3 linked regions of the Styela clava genome follow. The protein of the gene in region 1 interacts with the protein of each later gene in a biochemical or structural test. Links are inferred from orthologs where the notes say so. Each region holds a gene or a part of one and is shown on either strand. Other genes may lie near its edges. The genes, in order: protein arginine N-methyltransferase 5-like, serine/threonine-protein kinase RIO1-like and methylosome subunit pICln-like.

Region 1 (8,485 bases):
TTAACCTCGGTTTGTAACATCAATAAAAAAGATTTGGCGGTAAAGTGAAACCGTGTTTATATACTATATAGCAGTGCAATATTGAGATGCTTATATTGATTTATGTTTTAACTATATATATTCTATTGCAATATTTCGCTAGTGTTTGAACTAACATTTCATCCAATCGATAAAACAGACATTTCCAAACTACCATTTTGTGAATATTTCCTAATAAAATAATAGCAAACATTTGTCAGTTTTTGTTCAGTTACTGATGTCGCCAAGAATTATGTATTGGCAAATTTTTTCCATTTGTTAATGTTTTGCAGCCATTCTGGGGACGCACGCAGTAAACGCAGGCGGGTTTTATAATCATCTCTGCTTTTTTCTACCACAACCTTTCTTAGAATCTCGCAAAACAACGGGAACGAAAAAATGTTTACAACAATGCCTGCATATCTGTCTGAGCGATTGAATAAATTACAATAGTTTCGTCATTGTTAACTCGTTGCTGATTTGTCATTGTTAAGGAAATAAACAAAGAAATTGATTCTGTGAAAACATCCTTTGTACTGAAAATCATTCAATTTCAGATAATATGAAACACAAGTTTATCATTATTTTTTACAATTAGGACACCAAAGTCTAAAGTGCTTAGGTCCTGTACTGTACTGCCCATCTCCATTAGGTCACGAAATCTTATGTCATGTCCTTGCTGAGCAACATCCTAAAAATTTTGAGTGTAAAAATTCAATGAAGCTGAGAATCTAATGTCATTAAATTTGACACTGCCTTCAAATATTTATCTTAAAACTCACAACACCTAAAGATGGATTAACATGGTAGGAAGATACTCTTTGTACAGTTTCCCCACACACTTGAGACAAATTTAACCATATGTTAGAAATGAATTTTCTAATATCAAACAAGTGAACATAAATGAGGAACATGCTTTCCACTTTAATCATAATGCATTTCATAAAATATCGATGGTCCATGCATCCTTGTATATGGCAAGTGATTGGATTTGGGAACATAAATTATGGATTTGGGAACATAAATTAAAACAGCAATGATTGAATGTTTATATGGAGACCATGTAATTATATAATCCAAAATAATAATAGTATAGAGAGACCCATTTTAAACAGGCATGAAAACATAACTTTTACATGTTTAGAATTAATCATTCAGTCATTGGATAATAATAAGCATGCTTCAGCATCACAGTCATTTTCAAGAAATGAATTTTTAGAAAATTTTACATCATAGCCCGATGGTATAAGATCTACCATTTGGGTTGTGTATTTGACTTGCTTGTGGAGAAGTGACACACCATTCATACCAAACCTTTTTTCCATTGGAACAACGCCAAAAATCAGTCTGTAATGTACAACCTTCGGTAAGAGGGATTGGATTCATCAAGGGAACGAAAATTGGAAACCAACTGAACATTCCCGGTGAATGTGTTTTCGGTTCGATACTGATTTCAACATCTTTGTACAATGCGCATCTGAAATAACCACCAAATCCATGCAGCATAGTGTCAAAAGGAATTGTGCAAGAAAATTGTTGATATCTTGTGTTGTGACTATTTGTTGGCATTGTCGGAGTTGATTTGATTTGATTGTTAGCTTTAGTTGGATCAATGTGATTGTGTTGACTATCTTGAATCTGATTAACTTCAGTTTTCCCATTCGTTTCCATGTCCTCTTTATCCTTTACATCTTTTTTGCTGAACTTCTTGTCCCAAACTTCTGCGGAAACGTCGGCATGGAACTCTGGTTTAGGATTTTGACTATCCAAATCCCAGTTTGGATGATTGAATGTGAACAACGGAACTGGTTCAGTAAGTTCATGATAATTATGAATACGAACCACATACAAAGTTTCAAAAGCAGCTTCGGGTGTCTTATTTTTATCCAGACCCATCACACCTTTTATCTCATTGTAAAGTTTATGAGATGAGATAGGAGATATGTAAGATGTGTATGACTGCGGGATACTGACTGCATCTGGTTTTAGGAAGCGATTTGCCCCGTCTAAGCACTCCGGTGACAATTCATTGTCACCCAATGATCCTAGCAACTCTGAAACAACAATATCAGCTAGCTCAGGAGCCTTCCAAAACCTCATATCAGATGAAACTACAGTGACATCATAGTCTTTCCACTCTGTCGTGCACAGATGTTGCAAAAGTACAGCAGCATTTCTGTTTTTTTCTACTGCATAAAGACGAACTTTTCTTTGAGCTCTTTTAGCACCTCTGAGTGACATTCTAACGAGAGGGCCGCGACCCGCACCAAGCACCATGATAACAGCTGTTTGCTGTTCTTTTGCGGAATCAGGAATTTGGTCAAGCAAGCAACGATAAACTGCTTCCTCATACTTTTTATATTTGATAGGATCTCTTTCAAAGATTTCATAGGTTGACGATTCCAAATTATCCATGAGAGGCTGGAGTGGTGCTTGCAAATGATCTTCATAACCTTTTGAAAATTTTTCATATTCTCCTAGATTTTGAGCACCTTGGAATAAATGATCCAAGTATTGATGATACACTAGGATTCCTTCTGCATTATTCAAGTTAGGACCAGACAATACAATTTGACAATTCAACTTCATGAGATTTTTAACAAATTGCTGATGAGCACGGGACAAAACAGGAAATCCTTTTTGATTCATCAGAAAAACAGAAGTTGGAATATAAACCACACGAATAGGTTCACCTTGCCATCTTTCCAACTGACTCGGTAAGTCTGCAGTTAATTCCAATGCTAATCCGATTCTACTGTGATGGCTGCATAAGGTTCGAAATTTATTCCACCAGTGCCATGTATCCTCCTCACAATTTCTGGAGTGTAAAGGGACTTTAACCCATATGTGGACATTATGATGACCTTCATATAAAAAGGTGTTTATCATTCTGGCAATATTTGAACAATTTTTGCTCTTGATTTCAACAATAATCGCAGGTAAGCTCAAAAAAGCAACAAAATGAAGCTCTTGTTTCACAGCTTCTTCCGCACAAATACGCTTCTCTGTTACAACAGATGTCAAATCAGGAAAATAAGAAAGTTTGCCAACGACAAGGGAAGCCCATTCTTGTGAATTGAATAAAAATGATGTGTCTGTAACACCACCAAGTTTATTACATAGATTCGCTGTTTCAAATGGTGTGCAGCCTTGTCTGACAACATTCGCACATATAAAGTCATAGCCATTTCTACTAGAATTCTCAATAGATTCTTCAAGATCTTCAGTAAATTCAATATCTAGTCCGCAAGATACACGGTTTCTTGAGGCCATCTTAGGTTATAGTAAGCTATAATTTTAAGTAGTTATATTATTGATTTTGGTCCTAAAATTTAAATAGTAAAGCACACTTTTACCAAATCTCTAAAAACTTGTTTTTTCTTTAATGCCAACGACTACCAAACACATATATGGTCACACAGGATTAAAAATGATGAAACATGACTACCAGTATGTTTTGTTCAGTTTTCAACGGCATAAAAGGATGATTTACATAAGGTTAAGGAGGACTCCAGAGTAGATACGATCAAAATTATTAAAATATTTTTTTGTACCGTTTCAATTTGAGGCATGATACTGACATATAAACAATTATCCGCAACAATTATACACTTTGAAAAAATAATCTAATTCGCTGATTGAAAAAAATTTTACCGAAGCATTTGAGTTTTTAGCTGAAAAACATAATTTTGGTCACCAGACGTCCAAGTCATGATTGATTTAAATTATTACCGAGAGAATCTTGGCGTGATGTAACTGTTTTAGAGCCAAAAGGGAGTGCTTGTTATATTGAACCAAATGTTGGGACATCTTGGAATCGAAGAACTGTGCCCTAATGATGACTGGATGGTATAAAAGTAAAGTCGAATCATGTGAAATTTCAGATATTTAAATACTGATTGAATCGAAAGACCAGAAAAGGCAGCAAGAACAATAGCAGAATAGACTATGTGTGTGTCATAAGATAAATTGTTATAATGTTTTCTTATTCCTGTATTCTGTTTAAAATGAAGTCTGAAGGAAGGCTACGATGACATTTATGCCAAAATAATTCGCACACTTTCCACACACAGACACACATGTAGGCTACGGTAGCTAACTTGTTTCTAATTCTCATATTTAATATATCAGTAGAAATTTGAAGTCAGGAGTTCATTAATTATAAACTAACGTGGAATCATACTACCATAGCATCCATAAATGCGTATTACATTGTTTGTCTAATAAAAAAAAAGAAAAGAATGCGGATCGAGCAGGGCGGGAACTAATCCTTATGGATGTTTGGAATTATACTACAGTACCATAGTCAAAAGGTTTTGAACAATAATTTACAAGCAAGTTGCCAAGATTAAACCCTCACACAGATCGAGACTATTACATGCTTCCAGTTAGCAAATCAACATGAAGTAAATACAAACATAAACTCCACCCCACCTGCTATCAAAGAAAATATCCCCGCATGCACCAGCAAAGTGCACAATCCACATGCTACTAGTGCGGTGGTGTATGGAGTGGAAATCTAGAGTCCGAACGTAATTCGATTTAAGTACACCTGCATATATGAAATTTACGTATATGCCTTTATGTGGTGATTACCACCGTAATATAAGTAAATTCAAGTTTGAATGGAATAGCTAAATCTTAACACATAATGTCTTATTTTCCTTATTATTTTCCAATTCTTACAAAATTATTAACATGGTGTGGCAAATTATTTTTTTTTAATTTGTTTGTATATTATTCTTTTTATTAGGTAATATCTTTTATGTTTCAATTTTTATTTTAAACCTTAGGATTTACATCCTGAAGGATCCTATTTTAAACCTTACTTAAGTTTTTTTTGCTCTCCTGATTCTGTAATCAGTTTTATTTACTTAGTTTTTATCAACAATTTTATTGTCTATTGTGCTGATCATGGAATCGAAATAAACTATTCCACGTAATAGTCTACGACTACGGTATGTGTAAATGTTAGTTCTTCATGCGTTTATATTCTCATTTTTGAGGAAATTGCAGTTGATTTTATTCAGCGATCCCGTCGGGCCGTGGTTCTCATAGTGCGTCGTTTCAATTTTGCTAGGGCGTCCCAAAACTTTTTTCTTTTGCGGAATCGTACCTGTTTTGCGGTGCGTAAAAAAGTTTGAAAACGTCTAAATATCGCTGTAGAAATGTACGAGCGTAAAAATGATACCGAACAAGAAGTATGATGAAAGCTACTTGGACTTTGGATCGTTCAAGTTTCGAGTAAAAAAGCGCTGTGGTTTTTGTTGCAACTGGGGATGCGATGTACTTACTACATGCCGTTCAGGCTTATTAGGTAACCGGTTTCACTGGCTGAAATCTTGCTACAACAACATATTACGGCTTTTGTTCGCCATTTTGTGAACGGAATCGATATAAAAAGAAATTTTAATCACGAAAATGTTATGAGTTTTTGGATTTCCCCGGATAAAGATTATCCTTCCTTGCGGATAAAAAAAAGGCATTGCGCACTCTCATCCCCCGCGACTTCATATTCATGTGAAGCAGGCTTTGCTACCATGGCTGTAATAAAGGCAAAATATCGTTCTCGAGAAAACGTTGAAAGGAAAATGCGTATTCACCCCAAGACTCAATGACAATTGTGAAAGGAAGCAAGAACACCCATCACATTAAATGCAATTTCACCGACTTTCGGTAAATTTTGTTTGCTTGTTTAAATAAAGCTCATTACAAAAAGGTCTTTAATTGTATTAAGACGTTTTCACGGGGAGCCGCAACTCGAGCATATTTTTCGGAAGGCGTCACAACACAAAGAAGTTTGAGAACCACTGCGGTTGTAGGCAATCCGTAACTGACGTCCCAAACATAGGCCACATGAAACACTCCACGACAACAGGGGTCTCAGCAATCCTCCCCCACTCAAGATTTGAATCCGCACACATTAAGCACGAGGCATTTTACTCCCATATTTTTTCATTTAAGTTTCTGTGAACTATGAAAACTAACGCAAATTTCTCAAAAACCAGACTGTGTAGTTTACAGACTGTGTCAAAATAATACTGCCGTATCAAAGATACTGATACCTTAAACTTTAATAAGTAAAGCTCAATTAAGTTGATAAAATACAAATTAATGTATAGACTCTCAAGTTTTATTACTTGTTTCAAACTACCAAAGTTCCACAGATAAATTACAATAACTAAATTACATTTACTGGTCACATAAAAATGAACCAGACCTAATAACTACATATGATGAATAATATGCACAATGCAACTAATGTAACAATGATTCTAGGGCTAACTACCAAGCCAGTAAAATGCCAACAATCCACACAAATTCTCATAATTAGCACTACTGGGTATAAACTTGAAACCAGACGATACTTGACAATGAGTGATAATAAGGTCTGTTTTAGATCAGTCGAGAGAAGTTTGTTCATCGAATATAGATAAGCTGACCTGTGCGAAGTGGAAACACTTCTCCGGAATGCAGTTTTAGATTGAAAGAAATATAAGCATTGCACTGCAAGAAAAAAATAAATAAGCAAACTATATTGCGCTACCCCGTCTATATATGCAGCTCAGAAAAGACAGAAGCAGTAGAGATGAGACCTTGCGATGTAATATGCATTGCTTCAAACGAAAATTATGAATTTCATCTTGAATTTAGAACATACACAGTTGCATTGGAATTGGCAAAACCTAAATCTTTGAAAGTTGGGCAGACACAGTTGATGAATTAAGACATCAAAGAAAAACTTGTGCAAAATAATAAAGTTGACTTTCTGTGTATACTATATACATGTACAGTACATTAATTGTAAGACATAAATCAAAAATTTGACAGAGTTTGTACAACGAAAGTGCTTCGATGATATAAAATAAATTGTCAATCCTACATAAATATAGATGATAGGATAAAGTAATCTTGATTAAATAAAAAAAACCAGACAAACTTAAACTATAATCACAATTAGATTTTCAGCCTTACAAAGTGCAATAAACGTTTGTCCGATAAATCCCCAAAAAAGTGTATTCTATATCCATAATATTACATGCAATAACTGTCCATTTGTGATACATTATAGCAAATCTAAGGAAATTTATTGCAGAAACAAACTTTATTTCATTAATATTATCCCAATATAGCAAATTAAGAACATGGTGAAGAAAACAATAAAACCAAATGGAAAATAAAAAAAAAATTATTAGTACCTTGTAATCTAAAACAATAAAATAAACTAGAATAACATATTGAAGAAATTAAAGGTATGAAAGAAAGGTTTGGATAGACATATTCACATAGTAAGACGAGGAACGATTTTGTTTTCACCTTAATCATGTTTTGCAATATTTCTCCGAACGAAAAAAGTTGGAAATCTGTTTAAAATCAGACATATTTCACCTAAAGTGTTGACAGCATAAATGTCTTGAACTGGCACTTCCTTTTACAAGGTATATATGCTTCACTGGTCCTGACAGTATAAAAATAGCCTAAAACTACATGGAATTATTACAATTACATAACAGTATACATAGAAAAAAACTTGTCACTAAAGTACGAAAAATAGTTTATTCAGTTCAGAATTTACTCTCTGAAAGCATGATAATTTTATTAATCAAACTCGAACCATTAAGCATCACTAAAAAATTGATTCGAAAAAAAAAATCCATCTATTCCAATAATTTCATTGAATAACCATTTGAAACCAAAATTTTGGTTGATTAGAGCTCTCCAACTCTAAGAATGGTAGACTGTGGTGGGTAAAAATGTATGTGTAATATTTTGATTTTCGCTCAACCACATCATGTTCAATTTTCATAAACATACTTCTGTACAGATTTACGACATGATTATGAGTATCATGAATAAACAGAGTTCAAAGTAAATGAAAAAAAAAGTTTAAATATTGAGGGCATCAAAATGTTCCAAATTCATTGAATTACTAATAAATAGAACCAAAAAAAGTCGAATTTTAATCTCCTTGGTCAAATCCTATTTGACATATATTGAAATTTTGCCGCCTTTTTAGATCCAATTCCGATATTACAGTTTATTTTATCAACTGAAAGCATCAAAAGCACCTTTTTGAATACACTCATTTAAAAGGAATATTTAATCTCTTTTGATATTGAAAATCAGTGGTGTAACTAACATTAGATATTCATGAAGAACTGTGGAACTGATAAATATGGAATTAGGTAGCACCTAGATGTAGATGATTGCCATCTGTAACTTTCCTATATTCTTTGGATTTCAAAAAGTTTGACATCTGTGTCATACCAGACGGGTGGATCCACATTCCTGAACAAAAAAATTTATAAGAGGATAAAAAAAATTTAATAAAAAGGAGTATTACTAATTATCAGGGAATATTTCCAGTGGAGGGATTGAGGGGGTTAGCGCAAACAGGTTCTCGGAATGTTGCGACAATCACCAACCAGTTCTTGCTTTTTTTTTTGGAGACAGCAGCAAATGTGTA
Region 2 (8,523 bases), on another chromosome or scaffold:
ACTAGGAATGTCCGACACAAATTTAGTCAATAGACAGACCCGATTTACTAATTCTACATTAAAATCTTGATTGAGTTATTCAGTGTTTATCATGATTTTGTTGTGAGATAGAATCAAATAGATTATTTTAGAACTCCATTTTGAGGCAGAATTCCAGAAACGATCTAATTAATAATTATATATGGGAAATCCCCAACTTCTTCCTGGAATAGAAATATTTAAACAGGTAAAATTCACAGCTTGAAGCAAATGCCATATAAAATGTGCGTGCGTAAATTTACGTGCACCTCTCAAAATATTACAAAACTATAAAAATTCAGGAAATATATTATGAAACTACGAGAGCTAAAATCTTGCATTATGTTGAACGTCAAAAGAAAAATTCCATAATTAAATGTACATAAATTCATCACCTCTTTCCCAGTGCTTATTACACCATTGATCTGTTTAATGACGCCACGACTCAGCATTTTGAAAAGTATGATTCGAGTTCTTGGATCCATGACTTGTTCAATAGTTGCTCGATCCGATTTGTCTTTTACTCGATTTCTGAAAATTATTGGTTGCAGTAAATAAACTTGAAAATTGGTATTGGTGAAAATTGGTGATTCAACATAACATTTTGATATTGATTATCCAATATTTGCTAAAAGAAAAAAATCACATACACTGTTATTAAGAATCAAACCAAGTACCACATGACGCCTTACTTCCCAAAAACAATTTTTTTTATTACCTACCATGGCGCATAAAACAAATGATAGAAGCACATTAAATAAAGGTATTTTTATAGAAAAAAGGGCCACATTGTAGTCTTTGAAAGGGGGTCATGATTCATGAAAGCAAAGTTATGTTACAGCATCACCATGGTATTCAATAGTTTTCAACAAAACTCACTATTTCACTGAAAAATTAGTGAATTAATATTAATTAATAATATTAGTTAATAATATTAATTAATGGAATTCCTGAAAATTGATCATTTTGAAAGAACATTAAATTTAAATCTTCCAGGCACCTCCCAGTTCTTTGATTTAAAAGGAATAAGATATGAGAATGAGAGAAAGTTTTTGAATAAATTTACTTGTTTTCAACCATTCTTTTATCCATTTGTCGAACTTGTGCGAGATTATGTTGCGGAATACTAGGATGCTCATATGCATCAAGATGAATCTTGTCAGAAAATTTTGATAACATTTTATCCACAGGCTAAAAAACAACAAGAAGTTTATACTTTGCTGAGCACTCTATTTTATTTCAACTATTGGTTCTAAAGAGGGATGGCCAAAATTCGAAAATTCACTATCCTGAATACATTCTGATATAATATTTTCGAATTTGGAATATTGACGTTAATTGGGTCCTCTACTTTCGAAGTTAATGGATATTCAAATGAGTTTAAATTTGAAAATACAGAAGGGTTAAGATAAACAGTGATTTTAGTGGTTCTACGTTTTTTGTTGTAGAATTCAAAAAATTCAATGTCTTTTTGGTCATACTATAATATTTCAATTGCTCAAAATGATGGGTTTTCAGATAAAACTAACTAGGCCTATAATATTCCCAAAATAAAATTATTATTCTCTAAAAATAAAATTTTAAATATCATTTATTTCAAATTAATTGGAATATTCAATTCGACTTGGACATCGTCAGATTTAAACCAATATAGTTAGAGAAATAACTGAAATTAATAAGCCTGTCCCTCAGACATTCAGTGAATCGCCATTCAAATGATCTCTTCCTGAAGCTATACATGTGCTTGTGGCAAAATAATAAATGATCACATCCTACTTGATAAGATTGGTTGGAGGAATACTTGGCGCCGTTTCCTCTGCAATTTTCTGTATATATTTCATCCATTTCCATATAGTTATCATCACTCCAATTGTCATCATCATCTGCTATGTTTGTATTTGAATCGATACATCCTTCTTGAATAGGATCTTAAAATAAAGCATTACATAAATAGTTAATTGTATAAGAGACGCAATAAAATAATGGGCTTCATACATGGTGACACACCGATATGGTAATTTTCAAACGCGGTTAAAAGACACACATTGAAAATACACAAAAATCCAACAATCTCCAAAATGACATATCTTGACTGCTGATAGACAAACGACAAAATGTTGTTTATGAGAAAGTTCTATACATTACTCAACTGATCTACACAAGAATGATGTAGAGTCGGCTCAAATTGAAATAGTATGTCAAAGAGAGGATAGGATTTACATAATCATCCTGGATTAATCATATGGCAAACCACGGCCGCTCAGCCAGCTACAGGTCCATGTCAGGTAGGTATGGTATTAGTTAGCCAGTCATATTTGTTTCAGATGCATGGACAAAAACATAATGTAAAACAATGTTTTTCAAAGTGCAGTATTATTACTAGTATTATGACAAAAATTGATAAGACTATTCTAGCTATTGCTCATTTTAATTTGATTATAACACATTGTACTCTTGTATGTGAATCAACTTGCTGATTGAAATGTTAAAATTTCTGAATTTGGGGTAGATTACAAAACAGTCATTGAAGAATGTGAATGAAACAGCGAAGGAAAAAAAAACAATAATAGAGTACCGTAATAACAGAAAGATGATGATGAGTAAAAATAGAAATACTGAAATAATAATTGGCGCAGCGGTGTGGCTCAACGGGCTAAGCGTTAGGAATACGCTCGCCACCGCACCTCTAATTACTCTGCGTGGGTTCGCAGGTTCGAATCCCATGCAGGGATGGTTATGTGCGAGAGGATTGCTGGACTCCTCGCCGTCGTTGGGTGGTTCACGTAACCGCTGGTCGGTTACGGCTTCCTCCACCACCAAGTCCATGCTTCCGAAAAAAATAAAATAAAATACATTAAAACTAATCCCATACCCGACTTGGAATGCTAACCGGACGAGAGGCCGTGGTTCGCCATGTGGATAAGCCGTCTTATCGGCTTTCCTCTCCCCCGGGATAAATATGTAAATCCTATCCTATCCTAATAAAAGTTACAATGAAAAATATAGAAAAATTCACTTTACTAGCTTTACGTGATACCAGCGACTTAGATTATGATACTTATTTATTATTATGACTGAATGCAAAAAAGATGAATGAACTTACTAGTTTTTGTCATCATTTGCAAATATTCCTCCGCCTGGTCCAAATCATCAAACTGCCCCTCCATACCGTAATACTGTACTAAAGGGTTGGCCAACAACAACAAGGATTCTTTTCTAAAACAATTTGACGCTGCCTAACTGAATATCAGATGTGTAGAATGAAAACGATCAGAATACAATATAATAGCCTATATACAAATATTGAAATAGCCTGCTGCACCAGCGTTTTTCAGTCGCGTGTTTTCTTTTGCACATGTTGTGCAATATTTAATTCTCTGAAACACCAGACTTTTACTCATACGCAAGATGACAGTAAAGAATCGTGAATTACAAATCACGATTTTTGGTCACTGATGACAAGCGCGCAGTACGAAGTGAAATCTTTTCATCATTTGTTTGTCTCGTGCAGCTAATTTTTGGTTTGGTCTTGGAGGATGGTGTGAATATGTTTTGTTGATATTGATAGCATGATGTTTAAGTTTATTGTGTAATAAAGTATTTTTTGACAAATCGAGAAAGAGAGAGATTTATTTTTGTAGACCCGACACTCACTTGGCCTTGGGTACGTACCAGCTTACAGACTTCGGTTACCTACATCACATTCATACATCTGTACAACACCAAACATAGATATGTAAAAATTTTGTACATTTGGAGTAGGCTTATAACAGTATGTTGCACCACAAAGGTGAAAAAGTCTCTTGTTCAAAAGTGTTTCTGGGAGTTTCGCGCAGCTGCAAATTAAAAAAAAAAGAAATTGGGATCAATTACTATTTACGCAAAATCTATACCGTAGCTAGTCAGTGTTCATCATGCTTTCTCACTGCATCTGGAAACAAATGATTATATTTATTTCAAATAGTTTTCAAGTCTTAATTTACATGAAAATCTAACTTCTGAACTTGCCAACTTATGGCGTTCAAAAACTTGATCAGATTGAAAAATACATTGCTCACTGGATGTCTTCATCAAGTGAATAATACTTGCCTAACAAACACATACAATGGTTTACTGGTGAATCAAAGCCAAGCTGTATTAACCACCTTCTTAACTCAGCCTTCTAAGGACTTCCACTCATCTGCAATTGATTTCAAATGGGAAGGCAGATATCGAAACTTTTATCATGCTGATTTATACATGAAAACAGGAAAAATGTTGGACATAATAGCCAAGAAAAAGAAAAAATCAAGAATGGATGGAAAGCCACAAATAAAAGGCGTTGTTTTAAGACTTTTAATTAAAAAGCCGAAAAAACCAAACAGTGCGAATAGAAAATGTTGCAAAGTACGGTTAAGTACCGGAAAAGAAATCATTGCTTATATACCCGGCGAAGGACATAATTTACAAGAAAATAACGTTGTTCTCATCGAAGGAAAAGGACGTAAGGATTTAGTCGGAGTTCACCATAAAGTTATTAGAGGAGCACTTGATTGTGCTCATGTTGTTAAGAAAGAACAAGACTAATTTTTGCTATAAAATACTCGCAAATACTAAAGTATGACAGACAATTTGAAACAATTGAGCTCCTCACAAAATATGAAAATAAAAATTACCGTAGGATTATATGAGAGCGTTAGATAGCTTGGAATTTATATTTTGTGACAATAAATAATACTTAACAATGGCCTCAAAATGTTTGTAATGGTTTAAATTCTGACATATTTATGAATCTTTCATACTGTAGTAAAGAAATGTTTTACTTAAAAAAATCTCTCGTAAAAGAACAGCTAGCCTATTTAACTCTTAAGGATTTTGTCGTTCAACGTATGTGATGTTCCATTTTCACAAGGCTTTACTAGTCTTAAAGTATATGTTAATAAACTTCTAATGCCGCCAATGTTTTATTCAACTCACAAAGTTTTTTTGTGAGTTGAACAAACTTTGTCTAAATTTTTCAATATAAAGATTTAATAATATAAAACATAATTCCTGCCATTTCACACAAAATCTTTTCATATAGAGCCGTGCAAAAATTCATCACTTTTTCAATTGAATTTTACCGAATAACTTCCTTACCTAAGTTGTGATTGATGCTGTTTTGTTCTATCTATTCTATATGGTTCAAAATGCTCTTTACAATGTCAAAATCTAAAATACAAAGATATGAAATTTGTTGTTTTGAGATTTACTATTTGCAAATGCATTTCAAGTTGGAACTTCTTATTTTTTTTAATAGGAATTACCACATTGCTTTATCTCTATCTTTCTCAATGTATTTTCAATGTTGCAATTCAACACATGCTCCGATACTTCTACCAGACGGTTCGCCAGTCATCGTTGGGAGATCAGCAGAGACTAAAATACCTGATAAATTGTGTTCAAGAAATCAGTTGGAATTGGTTGCAAATTACAATCAAAAGTAGGTAGGAATGTGTTATATTTTTGCTGTTATAGATACTGATATATTTATGTTTTGTGAAATTATTATTGACGTTATTTGAATATACTTTCTTTTGTGTATAAAGAGACTTTTTTATTTGCCAATGTTTATGAAATCTGTATCAGGCCATACAGGTATTTTTGAGGTACCTATAGATTTATATTTGGAATATATGCTTATTTGAAAAATGGTCATTTAGACGGAAACATTTGATTCTAACTTGTTTCAAATATAGATTGTCCGCTATTGTGTTTTCTTGCCCTGTCAAATTGGTTTGTAAAAATATTTCTGTTGAAAATGTGTCAAGTATATGATCAATGTTTATTGAGACTTTATAAGACGTTTTTAAAATATGTTTAATTATTTAAAATGTTGTCTTGAAAACCACTTTTCTAGAGTGATTTTATTGGCATCACTAAATTTGTTATTTTTGAACATTAGATATGTTATGGTCAAGCAACTTGGCAGTAATGCATCTCAGATAGAAGGGATTGATATCGGACATAGAAAAACTGACAGACTTCATGCAGGACAAACGTTACACGTCGTTGATATGAAATATCCTCACAAGATTGCTATATGTATCCCTAATTCAGGTTTCATTTTCTATCATATAGTGAATTTATTATTATTAGAGAGAAATGCACTATTATAAGGACATGAAGGTTTTACCAGTAGCATACGTTGTTCAATAAACTAGATTGCTGAAAATATGGGGTGAGGATGGAATTTTTTTAAATTTAGAAAAATGTTGGGTAAAAGACAGTACCTTGATGAGCGCAAAAAAAGTGTTTACGCAAATAGTAGTAGAATTTTAAATAACTAACGCTGTTTAGGAAATCATAATATTCGATTAATGTAGGTTTTTGATATTGATTTATCCAGAGTTTACCGTGATAATGACGAAAAACAATTCTTGTCCCAAAAACAGTGACCTGTACTCATATCCCAATGTAAATTTATTTCTCCAATAATTTCAAAGAAACCACATCGAAACTCTTATGTTCTATAATATTTATTCAGGAACTACATCTTCCAATACCAAGAAAACAAAACTACCTCAGGAGGAAAACACATTCAGCAAACGACAAAAAATGACTGAAAAAGTAGCGAAAAATATTTCCGATGAAGAAAACGAAACAAATTCAAATAATAAAAATAATTCAGCACAAAAACCTTCCTATCATTGGAGTCAAGGTTTGAAAGGATCAATGGATGATCCTAGTTTGAGAGTTTCCAAAGATGATAAAGTTGTTGTCATCAAAGATAAATATCCAAAGGTATGTTGATGCTAATATTATATTGCGAACTAAAGTCTGAATTCATAATTTGCATATGGTAAAAATCCATTGCAGATTTCTATTCAATACTCTGTCACACTGTGTACAAAATACACAGGGTACTGGAGGCTGCTCCACAAAACTGAAAATTAGCATAAACGCAGAAAACACAGCTAATCTATGAAAAATTGATGAGAAATATATTACAACTTATATAAGCAAGAAAACTTTGTCTGTATACCAATTTTCAAAAGAATTTGCTCAAAGTGAAGTCTAACACACTCGCTCTCGAGATAAAAGTGAATCATCTTTCTGCTGAAACCCCCTCTGAATCATCTTCTCATCGTTGTTAGGAAATTTCCTTGCAGAAATTTTCAACCATGAATTATTTGAACTCTGACAAAATTTAACATATTAACCCAGTTGAATGAGGAGTTTTGAGAGGAATTTATGGGTGTGTTTTTGAGTGGTGGAATTTTACAGACACTCTCTCATCATAGCTCATATTGAAACTTATATATATAATTCGACTTATAATTAAAACATTGTCTCTAAACCAAGTTTAATCCTAAATATTCAATACATCATGACTTGATTTTGTGTCTATGATGTCATTTTCAGGTTTTCACTACTGTTTCATACATTTTCTAATATTTAATTAATCACAATGCTGTATCCATATCGTCATGGTAACTTGTATCATTACCCATTGATGCCGTGTCACTGACGTTTTTATATTGTGAGCTGCCCATTCTTTCGTTCTGCAAGGACCCTGAAATTCGAATGGTTTGTCAATTATACATTGCAATACAGAAGAATAAAAGAATAAATAAATGTTGATATATAAGTTTCCAACCTTTTTTTTCAAGCGACCCAAATTTTCAAAAAAATAGATTTAGTAAAATCTCGCGACTCAAGTATAATATGTTCAAATACAGACAGACTAGTATTTATATGTTTAATTTTTGTATCTTTTATTAACATTTTTATTGTATATACTCACCTATTTCTAATTCTATTCCAATTTGATCAATATTGTCTGAGTCAAAAACTGATCCACATTCACTGGAAGCATTCGATGTATTCTTTTCATTAGCAATATTTTCCAAAATGTTTTCATCTTCATTGGGACTTCTGTTTGTATTTGGAAAACCATCTTCGCAATCTTCTGTGCTTTTGTTCTCTTGGTTCAGAGGAGACATTTCTTGCATTTCAACATCTTCCGTCTCTTTTGTGATTTCTGATTCAAGCCTGCTTCCTCTTTTTCTGTATAAATAATAAATGAGATGCATAATGGCTATATTCACATGAAAATTTTAGTATCTAGAACAGACATGTGCAGATTACGACTCGCGGGTCAAATCCGGCCAACTGGGTAATTCAATCTGGCCCGCCTGATGCTGCCACAACTTAACTGGAACCAAATTTTGATGATTTAGTTAAAAATAGGTCAAGGGATTTGTTAAGATTGCGGATAAATTTTGGCACGTGGTTCATTGTTTTCCACTGTTGCTTTTGTAACACTGTGAACATTGTTCATAAAATGTAACTCTTTACGTCATACTTACATGGCCCGCCAGTCTCGGTGGGCAAAATTTTTGTTCCCTGATCTAAAAATCGTGCCCACCTCGATCTAGAATGTCCGTTTTTCCGCCAATAGTAACATTTTAGTCTTTTCTCTTCATTTACAAAGCATAATGACACTATGCTTTATTTTTCTGATTCAAATATTGTCTATATGAC
Region 3 (7,901 bases), on another chromosome or scaffold:
AAGTCTTGAAACGAGAATATCGGTCAGAGACGTAAGACAGTATCCATGGATAGTTAGGGGATCCCCCGAAACAGCGCTCTTACTCCATAGTGACACCTCGTGTCTCATCACTAATTAATTATTAAAACTCGCTAATTATACGACATAATTCGTCCAAAATCAATAGGCTTCTGGTCTGAGATATGATGAATGCACATGCAAAATTTGGAGCAGATTCAACTTTGCTTTTGTGAGATATCGCATGCATCTAACAGACAGACAGACAAATATCTATCAACATACTTATCGATAAGTAATAATGCGGAAACAACTAAGCTGAACTTTTTTTAAGTTTGTTCGGGGACGGTTATCTCTAACCACCACTGTGAGTGACACGACATGCAGTGGAAAAAGTTTATTGCTTAGAAAAGAATATAATAAAGGTAAATGAGATGGGAAAGGAATATATCAGTCTTGTTCATTTTATTACATGCCGAAAGTACACATTGTACAAACATAATTAAGAACAAAAATGCATTTCAGTGTGAAGGGAGACGTGATAAACATGCGGATCACGATTAAGCAATTAAAAACATCAGGTGTTGTTTCAATCACAAAGATTGCTGAGTTGTTTGATATTTTAGATTTTGATTGATATATTTGAATCAGAGTGTTAAACTAGGTGTTTGCAACCTTTATTAATACAGGAGGGTTAAATTGATATACGATTGAAATATAGTAATGTGAACACATTCAATTCAAAAAGCCTATGTGCACTATTTACTTTAAAATTGAGTCCTTATAGATATGTGTAGAAGTATGGGGTGTCCATCAAGTTTTAAAGACTTTCGAAGTTGGAAGGGAATTTATCAATACCACATATTGTTCCGGCCCATGTATTATTAAATGAAGTAAAAATACTTGAAAATTGACTGATAAAAAAAAACAACAAACCTGGTTAAGAACTGACTTCATACCAAAATTAAAATTGTAAAGGGACTCCATGAACATCCATAAAGAGTGGAGTCGTGAAGAGGTAAATTTTAACTTCGAAATTTGTGAAAAAAGTAAATGAGAGAACAAAGGTTTAATTAATAAAACCCCTGTCTTAATTGAACCAAGTAACAAATAAGATATGCAATTGTTCTCAACTCAGTCTTGGTGGTAATAACCTAAGCTGCAGAGTAGGAGGTCAGAGCTTGGGATGTTTTCCCTGTAATTTTACCCACTCAATGACGATGATAAGTCAAATTTTTCCATTAAAATCCAAGAGTATTAGGTCTATTGAGTATCTATTGGAGGAGACTTGCATAATACCAATTAATATTAATTTTTCTCCAAGTTAGAAACTGGAGTCAAAATTATTTACAATCTTAGAGAAAATTGTTATTTTTTCAACCCGCAGCGTTGATTGTAAACTTTTCCTGCTCCGCAACCACGACAGACATCAGAAACCTGGCATTGAGCAGATCAATGAGTGTCTTCGGCATCATCAAATTGTCCTTCCACTGAAGGAAGAATAGGGGCACCTTGCTGCGGGTTGTCATCGACAACAGGGGGCCTTCCTACCACAGGAGGCTCATCAGTGTTCATGGGGCCCTCCTCCTCAATCTGAACCCCTTCCATTTGGGAAATCCCCTCAGGTTCAGAAATTTGTGAATCTGCTAACATATTCTCTAGTCTTGCTAATGTTGCTTGCCCTGCAGGCGTTAAATGTTGTAAGCCTTCTTCAGAAGTATAAAATCCTTCCCCCGCACCGCCATTGTAAACAGTAGGGGGGTACATAGCCCCTTCATAGTTTTGCTCCTCACTGTCACCATCTCCTCCATAATAGTCATCGCTATCCTCACTGTCCGGATGGAGACATTGGCAGTCGCTCATTGCATCGAACATTCGTTTTAAATTGTCTTTACATACTGGTATAAATCTGATCTCTGATATTGTACCACTTGTGTCAGCAGCAAACTCGTTATCTGCACAATCGTACTCTTCTGTCTGTCCGTTGCCATTGACAACCGGTTCACAAATCTCACCATTGAACATTACGTAAAGACATTCTTCAGGAAATGCCTGGAAAATCACAAGATTATACACTGAATAAATTATATCTAAAACCATAACCTTCAAGGTATGGAAAATACAGGGTGTTAAAAAAGATTTTTCGGCATGGCAGCGTTAAAAAAGTAACTGTTAAAAAGCATCAGACGTGAAATGTTTAAATGGCATTTCACCATAATTCAATACTTTTGAAAGATATCAGTCGTTAAACGTACCAAGTAGCATTTCATCCAAACTTCTGTTTATTTTGCGTTACTTTTTTAACACCCAGTAGTATGATGGCAGAAATGTACAAAGCCAAATTATAACATGATTACATTACACCTGAAAGACGAATTCCGCAAATTGTATTGATTAGTAGTCCTGTTTCACAGAGTTCGTAGCTGAAGCCTAAGGTCTAAATTTTTATTAACCCAGAGTCGCATTTAATCTAGAATCGACTAGTCACTGGCAATTGTGGATTTCTCAGACGCCGCAGTCTTGGTTGTCATAAACCGTGCCAAACCTTATATCTGATCAACTAGTTGTCTGTGGACTTTCTCACAGCCAAGGTATAAAATATTCTAAAGATATGACAGCTATTATACAGTCAGTCAGTAGTTTATTTTATCACATGTCGAAAGTACACATTGTACATTATAACTATGACAGATAAAAAAATGAATTTCAGTATGCAGGGAGCACAATAACCAGTGATGGTTATCAAGCACCGTCACCTATAAGGAATTCAGACTCTGAAGATACATTTAGGTGACCCATTACCCCAGTGTCACTCTTGTTAATGGAAGAAAACAACTCTAGACAGGCAGGCGGGGTAACCATGGCAACCACAGTTCATTGAATACCAAGCGTACAACTGAATACCTGTAAATCTTTAGAGACGGCATGTATTGCGATATCTTTATAACCGAGTGACAGTCCACGATGCTCCTGATTCTCCCAGATCAATCTTTCTTCTGAAATATACAACGTTCCACTTCCTCTGTCATCAGAGTTTATGTTGATTCTGCAATTTTGTTCCGTATGTTGAATTCCTGTATCAGGCGTGACAACTCGAGGCAACATTTTGTATCTGGCATAAACTATGATTCAAATAATAGATTTTATTCAAAATACATTATACCACGATTCTCATCAAAGTTTTTTGCTACTAGGAGAGGTTTTTATAACATTTTATACTGGGGGCGGGTGGAAAGTGAAAAAGGGCTTAATCATATGGCAAAGCAAACTCGCTCATCTAGTTATCATTTCAGGCCGGGTATGAAAATAATTAACTAGATTTTCTTCCAGATGCATGGACTTGACCAAGATCACAAATGCATTTAGTAGAATACAAGCAATTAGCACAGGGTACACCAGCAAAGCATAACATCAGCTTTATTAAAGGATAGTATAAATGTCAAACAGTCCATGCAACATGCAATGGCATTTTTATAGAATATTTCTCCATGCAATCCAACATATAATTATAGAAAAAGTACAAAAAATTTTCCAACTCATTAAAAATGACTATTAGGCATTAGATACAACTGCATTAAAAAAATAAATTATAGCAAGGTTCAAATGATTGCATTACACACACACAAGTAGAAGGAAAATATTTCATTAATACTAAATGAAACTAGCTCAAGTTACATCCCCTAAAAATTTCAAACAATTTGTACTTGAGTGACGATAATAAATCACATATTATAACAAGGAAATAGACCTAAAATTCCTGAACAAGGACTCTTAAAAGATATTAATTTGAATGGGAGTCTTTAGTGTCAACAGGATTTTTTTTGTATCCTGGATAATGCGGAGACAACATGAAATCCACACCAGTGGAAAAGGATATCTGGTCTATCAACCAGGAAAATGTGTTTGATATATTTACTTGGCTAATTGCTTTTTAGAGTTTGATCCACTCTTGAGGTGATCCTATAGTCTTAGTGTAATCACTGTGTTTTATCGAAAATAAGACCTAGCCTGATTTTAAAAAATTTACATTTTGAAATTTTATTATAAGCCCTCCCCTTATTGATAAATGAAAAATACCAAAACCACCAAAAATAAGCCCAAGTGTTAATTTTGGAGGAAAATTGAAATACGCCCCTGTCTTCTTATTTCCAGGAAAACACTGTATGTACAGACACTAATCGCCTGTAGTACAATGAGATTTCAATGTGCATTTACAAGCCAAAAAGCAATATATAAGGGTGCTATTAGAACTTCAGTTTAGGAACTATCTCTATGACAGTGATTCCCAGAAGGTGGAGCGCGCCCCACAAGGGGTATAGACAATTTTATGAGAGGGCATAAAAGCTAATCAAAAATAGATGTGATAGTGCCAGTCTTATTTTGAACATGTTTTTTTGAATAAATACTTTACTTTACATACTTTTGCTTTACTATCTGTTATTTGTAGCTTATTGCTAGCTTCCGTGATATTTTTTGTGTTGGGGTGCGAGACTTGACAAATTCTAGAAAGGGGAACGGGGCTGAAACGTTTGAGAACCATTGCTCTATGTTTTTTTAGACTTTGAATTAATCTCATCAGGACTTAGGAACAAACCTATAAGCATCAATAAATGCATTACATGAAGGAGAGAAGAACTAAACACTGTGGAAGGATAAGTATTCCAACTAAGTTCAATTAGACCAAATATTAGCAATCTAGCTGTCGAGTGAATTTTTATATTCCATAATAAAAAGGGTAAAGTATGATAATACCAAACATAGAACTGGTAATGTAATGATCGACTAAAGCACATACCGATGAAATTGCTCACAAATAAAATCTGAACCATTTTTGTTGGAGATATTTTTGGCAAATTAGCTTCCCAGTTCGTGAAAGGATTAATTAAGGAAAACAATTGCTTGATTCCGTTTCTCCATTTAAATATTGCAAACAGCACAAGAATTGATAAATGTAACAAGAGCAGGCATAACTGGAATTGCTTGTTTAGAAATATTTCCTCCGGTACGAGCCTCCAATTTACAGTCCAAATATAGAAAAACTGACGACTGAACTCGAAAGATTTTTTAACGTAGCCGACTGAATTTTCAAGTAAAAATGGAATCGCTATAACTATTTGGGTGAGTAAACATACAAATAAATGTCCAATTGTTTTTAAAATTCCATTTTCGATTAATAGGATCACCAACAATGCAGGTGCAAAAAGAAAAATGTTCATTTTTACCCCGACGGCGAGACTGTAAAATATGCAACCTATACTCCATTGTTTTGACAGAAATAAATTCACTGAGGCATAAAATATCATCATAGCCACTGGGTCATTGAAAAGCCTCAACACAAAAATTGAATGAATTCTGTAAGAAGTCATACACATAAAAATAAAAACATAGGGAGGACATTGCCTAGTTTTTTCGTAAATCCTAACCACAAGAGCTAAATTAATAACATAAAACAAACAGAAAATATACTGTGCTACTTTTATGTTTGTTCCTTGTGATGTTAGGTAATAAAGAGCAGAGTATATGTAAACAAAAGCAGCGGGGTAAACAAGCGGCCCGGTGTCTCCTTTTAGTTCCGTATAATCCCGTGTTCCGTTGATGAAGCCCTCGACCTCCTGCATATACGCAACCCAGTCAATTTCTGTGTATTTCACAAAGTGTACAACCAGTATATTTAAAATGATTTCTCCAATAATGAGAAGACAGCATAATTTCCATGTGTACGCCGGATCCGTCAGAAGTTTAAATGCAAAGTCCCACAAGTATTCAATGTTCGTTTTCAATTTAGAAAACAAGGAGAGCTTTTTCTGCTTTCTCTTTTGCAATGCAGGCATGTTTCAAGTGCAAAACTGCGCTACAATTTGTCAAAAAGTTGAAAAACAACAAACCCAGAACTAAGATCTCGATTTTTGAGATTGCAGAACGTCCACGAAACGAAGTGCGTGCGAAATCCACATGTTGCGCACTCTCTTTTGAAAAATGTGGACGGAGTTACTATTTTCAAATATTTCCTTGTAAATTTCTAAAAAACTTCTTCAGTTTTGAAATTGGTTAAACTTACATAGGATATAATGTAACAATAATTTAAAACTTTTGTGAGGCTTACAGGCATATCAGAAATCGAGAAAAAAATACTGCAGTAATTAAAATAAACCTATCCGGTGTCGAGTTCAATTAATCTGACTCTAAACTATCCCTCTCTCTCTCTCCCCGTCTCATAAACTCTCGATTGTGAGTTTAAATATCTGCTTATTTATTTGATGACAATTTTTTTCCTAATTGTAGACTTCCATTATATCTTTACGTTTTATTAGAAAAGGATTAAAATCATATTTAAAAACACAGTTGTGGTAAAATAGACTCCATTCACCACCAGTTTATTTAATATAAAATACATCCTCCAGATGTCGCTAGTAAGCTGCAAAATAATTGGTCTAAAATGTTGCCACATTTTATCAGCTATTACTAATTTTTTCAATTAATTAATTTCGAAAACTTTAAAATAGGCACATATTCTTAGTGATTTTTGGTGAAAGTGTGCATTATTTTTTTTACATATATTGAAGCCTCATCATATTTGAAAATATTTTTTAATGGAAATCTGAATCATCATAAAATTCAAGCGTAAAAGATGGCAACGAATTATTCACATCATTTTGTTTTTTGCAAATTGCATCTGTCTTCGCAACATCGAGGAATCTTCTGTTCGCCCTGTGAGGATTTATCCCTACCGAACTTTACGAGATGGATCGACGTCCTTACACATCATGGTCGTCCTCATCAACAAGTAAATATGTACCGAAGTCATCGTCTACCGGGAGGCAAAGTTCAAAGTCACCAACAAGAGACAGGTTGCAATCTTAACTACTTAACAATCTTAACGGCGCGGCGGTGTGGCTCAACGGGCTAAGCGTTAGGAATACGCTCGCCACCGCACCTCTAATTACTCTGCGTGGGTTCGCAGGTTCGAATCCCATGCAGGGATGGTTATGTGCGAGAGGATTGCTGGACTCCTCGCCGTCGTTGGGTGGTTCACGTAACCGCTGGTCGGTTACGGCTTCCTCCACCACCAAGTCCATGCTTCCGGAAACAAACAATATATAAATAATCCCATACCCGACTTGGAATGGTAACCGGACGAGAGGCCGTGGTTCGCCATATGGATAAGCCGTCTTATCGGCTTTCCTCTCCCCCGGGATAAATATGTAAATCCTATCCTATCCTATCCTAACTAACTTTTTTGCGCGGTGAATAGTCACATGAAAAATACTGTTCTATTGGTGGGGAGTTTAACATTTCGCATTGTTTGGAATTTAGACCACTTCGAATTGTCTTACTACGTGTGTCCTGTGCTGTTTTTGTAAAAATAAAATTTGCTCAAAGGCGAAGCAAGGTCTATCAGGCATTGACAGAGTGACTAAAAATTTGGATAGACGTGCAAACATTGAGATGTTAAAAGAAATCAAAAACTCATAGCGTGAATTTTTTGTGTCCTGGAATAAATATTAATTATTACCATATGCTATATTTAAGAAATGGACCTTTCCCTTTACGCAAATTATTAATTGAATTCACATAAGTAAATACAAGGGTGTTCCCATCACTTAGTAAGTCGTGCTAATTGTTGAACCCAAAATCTTGGCTCAGCGGTGTGGCGCATCATGCTAAGCGTTAGGAATACGCCCGTGCATCTCTGATTACCCTGTGTGAGTTTGCAGATTCGAATCCCATGCAAGGATGGCATGTGCAAGAGGATTTCTGGACTCCATGTGGCATTGGGTGCTCCATGTAACTCTGGTCAGTTACGGCTTCTTCCACCATCAAGTCCTCCTATCTTGAAGGAGCTAGTATGAAGAGGGTACGACCACATTTCACACATATTCGATTTCATTTCCAGGAAACGCACA

What was found.
Region 2: the proteins of protein arginine N-methyltransferase 5-like (region 1) and serine/threonine-protein kinase RIO1-like are reported together in a solved structure, tested with the Homo sapiens proteins (2 studies listed by BioGRID, with this or other methods). The link is inferred for Styela clava from reciprocal best matches to the Homo sapiens genes PRMT5 and RIOK1.
Region 3: the proteins of protein arginine N-methyltransferase 5-like (region 1) and methylosome subunit pICln-like form a complex in vitro, tested with the Homo sapiens proteins (5 studies listed by BioGRID and IntAct, with this or other methods). The link is inferred for Styela clava from reciprocal best matches to the Homo sapiens genes PRMT5 and CLNS1A.

What each region holds. Positions count from the first base shown.
Region 1 is NC_135260.1:10,097,186-10,105,670, forward strand, and holds protein arginine N-methyltransferase 5-like, read right to left. Parts: upstream 3,368-8,485; 5' UTR 3,292-3,367; coding exon 1,249-3,291; 3' UTR 883-1,248; downstream 1-882. Other genes in the region: uncharacterized protein LOC120347196, read left to right, coding at 1-17; protein HID1-like, read right to left, coding at 8,244-8,307. UniProt on the Homo sapiens protein: Arginine methyltransferase that can both catalyze the formation of omega-N monomethylarginine (MMA) and symmetrical dimethylarginine (sDMA), with a preference for the formation of MMA.
Region 2 is NC_135264.1:11,771,004-11,779,526, reverse strand, and holds the start of serine/threonine-protein kinase RIO1-like, read right to left. Parts: upstream 3,380-8,523; 5' UTR 3,186-3,379; coding exon 3,122-3,185; intron 1,947-3,121; coding exon 1,795-1,946; intron 1,210-1,794; coding exon 1,085-1,209; intron 550-1,084; coding exon 414-549; intron 1-413. Other genes in the region: small ribosomal subunit protein uS12-like, read left to right, coding at 4,033-4,584; uncharacterized protein LOC120333828, read right to left, coding at 7,443-7,552, 7,784-8,046; aprataxin-like, read left to right, coding at 5,151-5,479, 5,942-6,096, 6,524-6,780. UniProt on the Homo sapiens protein: Involved in the final steps of cytoplasmic maturation of the 40S ribosomal subunit. Involved in processing of 18S-E pre-rRNA to the mature 18S rRNA. Required for the recycling of NOB1 and PNO1 from the late 40S precursor.
Region 3 is NC_135259.1:18,959,794-18,967,694, forward strand, and holds methylosome subunit pICln-like, read right to left. Parts: upstream 3,103-7,901; coding exon 2,902-3,102; intron 2,050-2,901; coding exon 1,450-2,049; 3' UTR 387-1,449; downstream 1-386. Other genes in the region: dol-P-Man:Man(5)GlcNAc(2)-PP-Dol alpha-1,3-mannosyltransferase-like, read right to left, coding at 4,542-5,828; uncharacterized protein LOC120337104, read left to right, coding at 6,739-6,845, 7,892-7,901. UniProt on the Homo sapiens protein: Involved in both the assembly of spliceosomal snRNPs and the methylation of Sm proteins.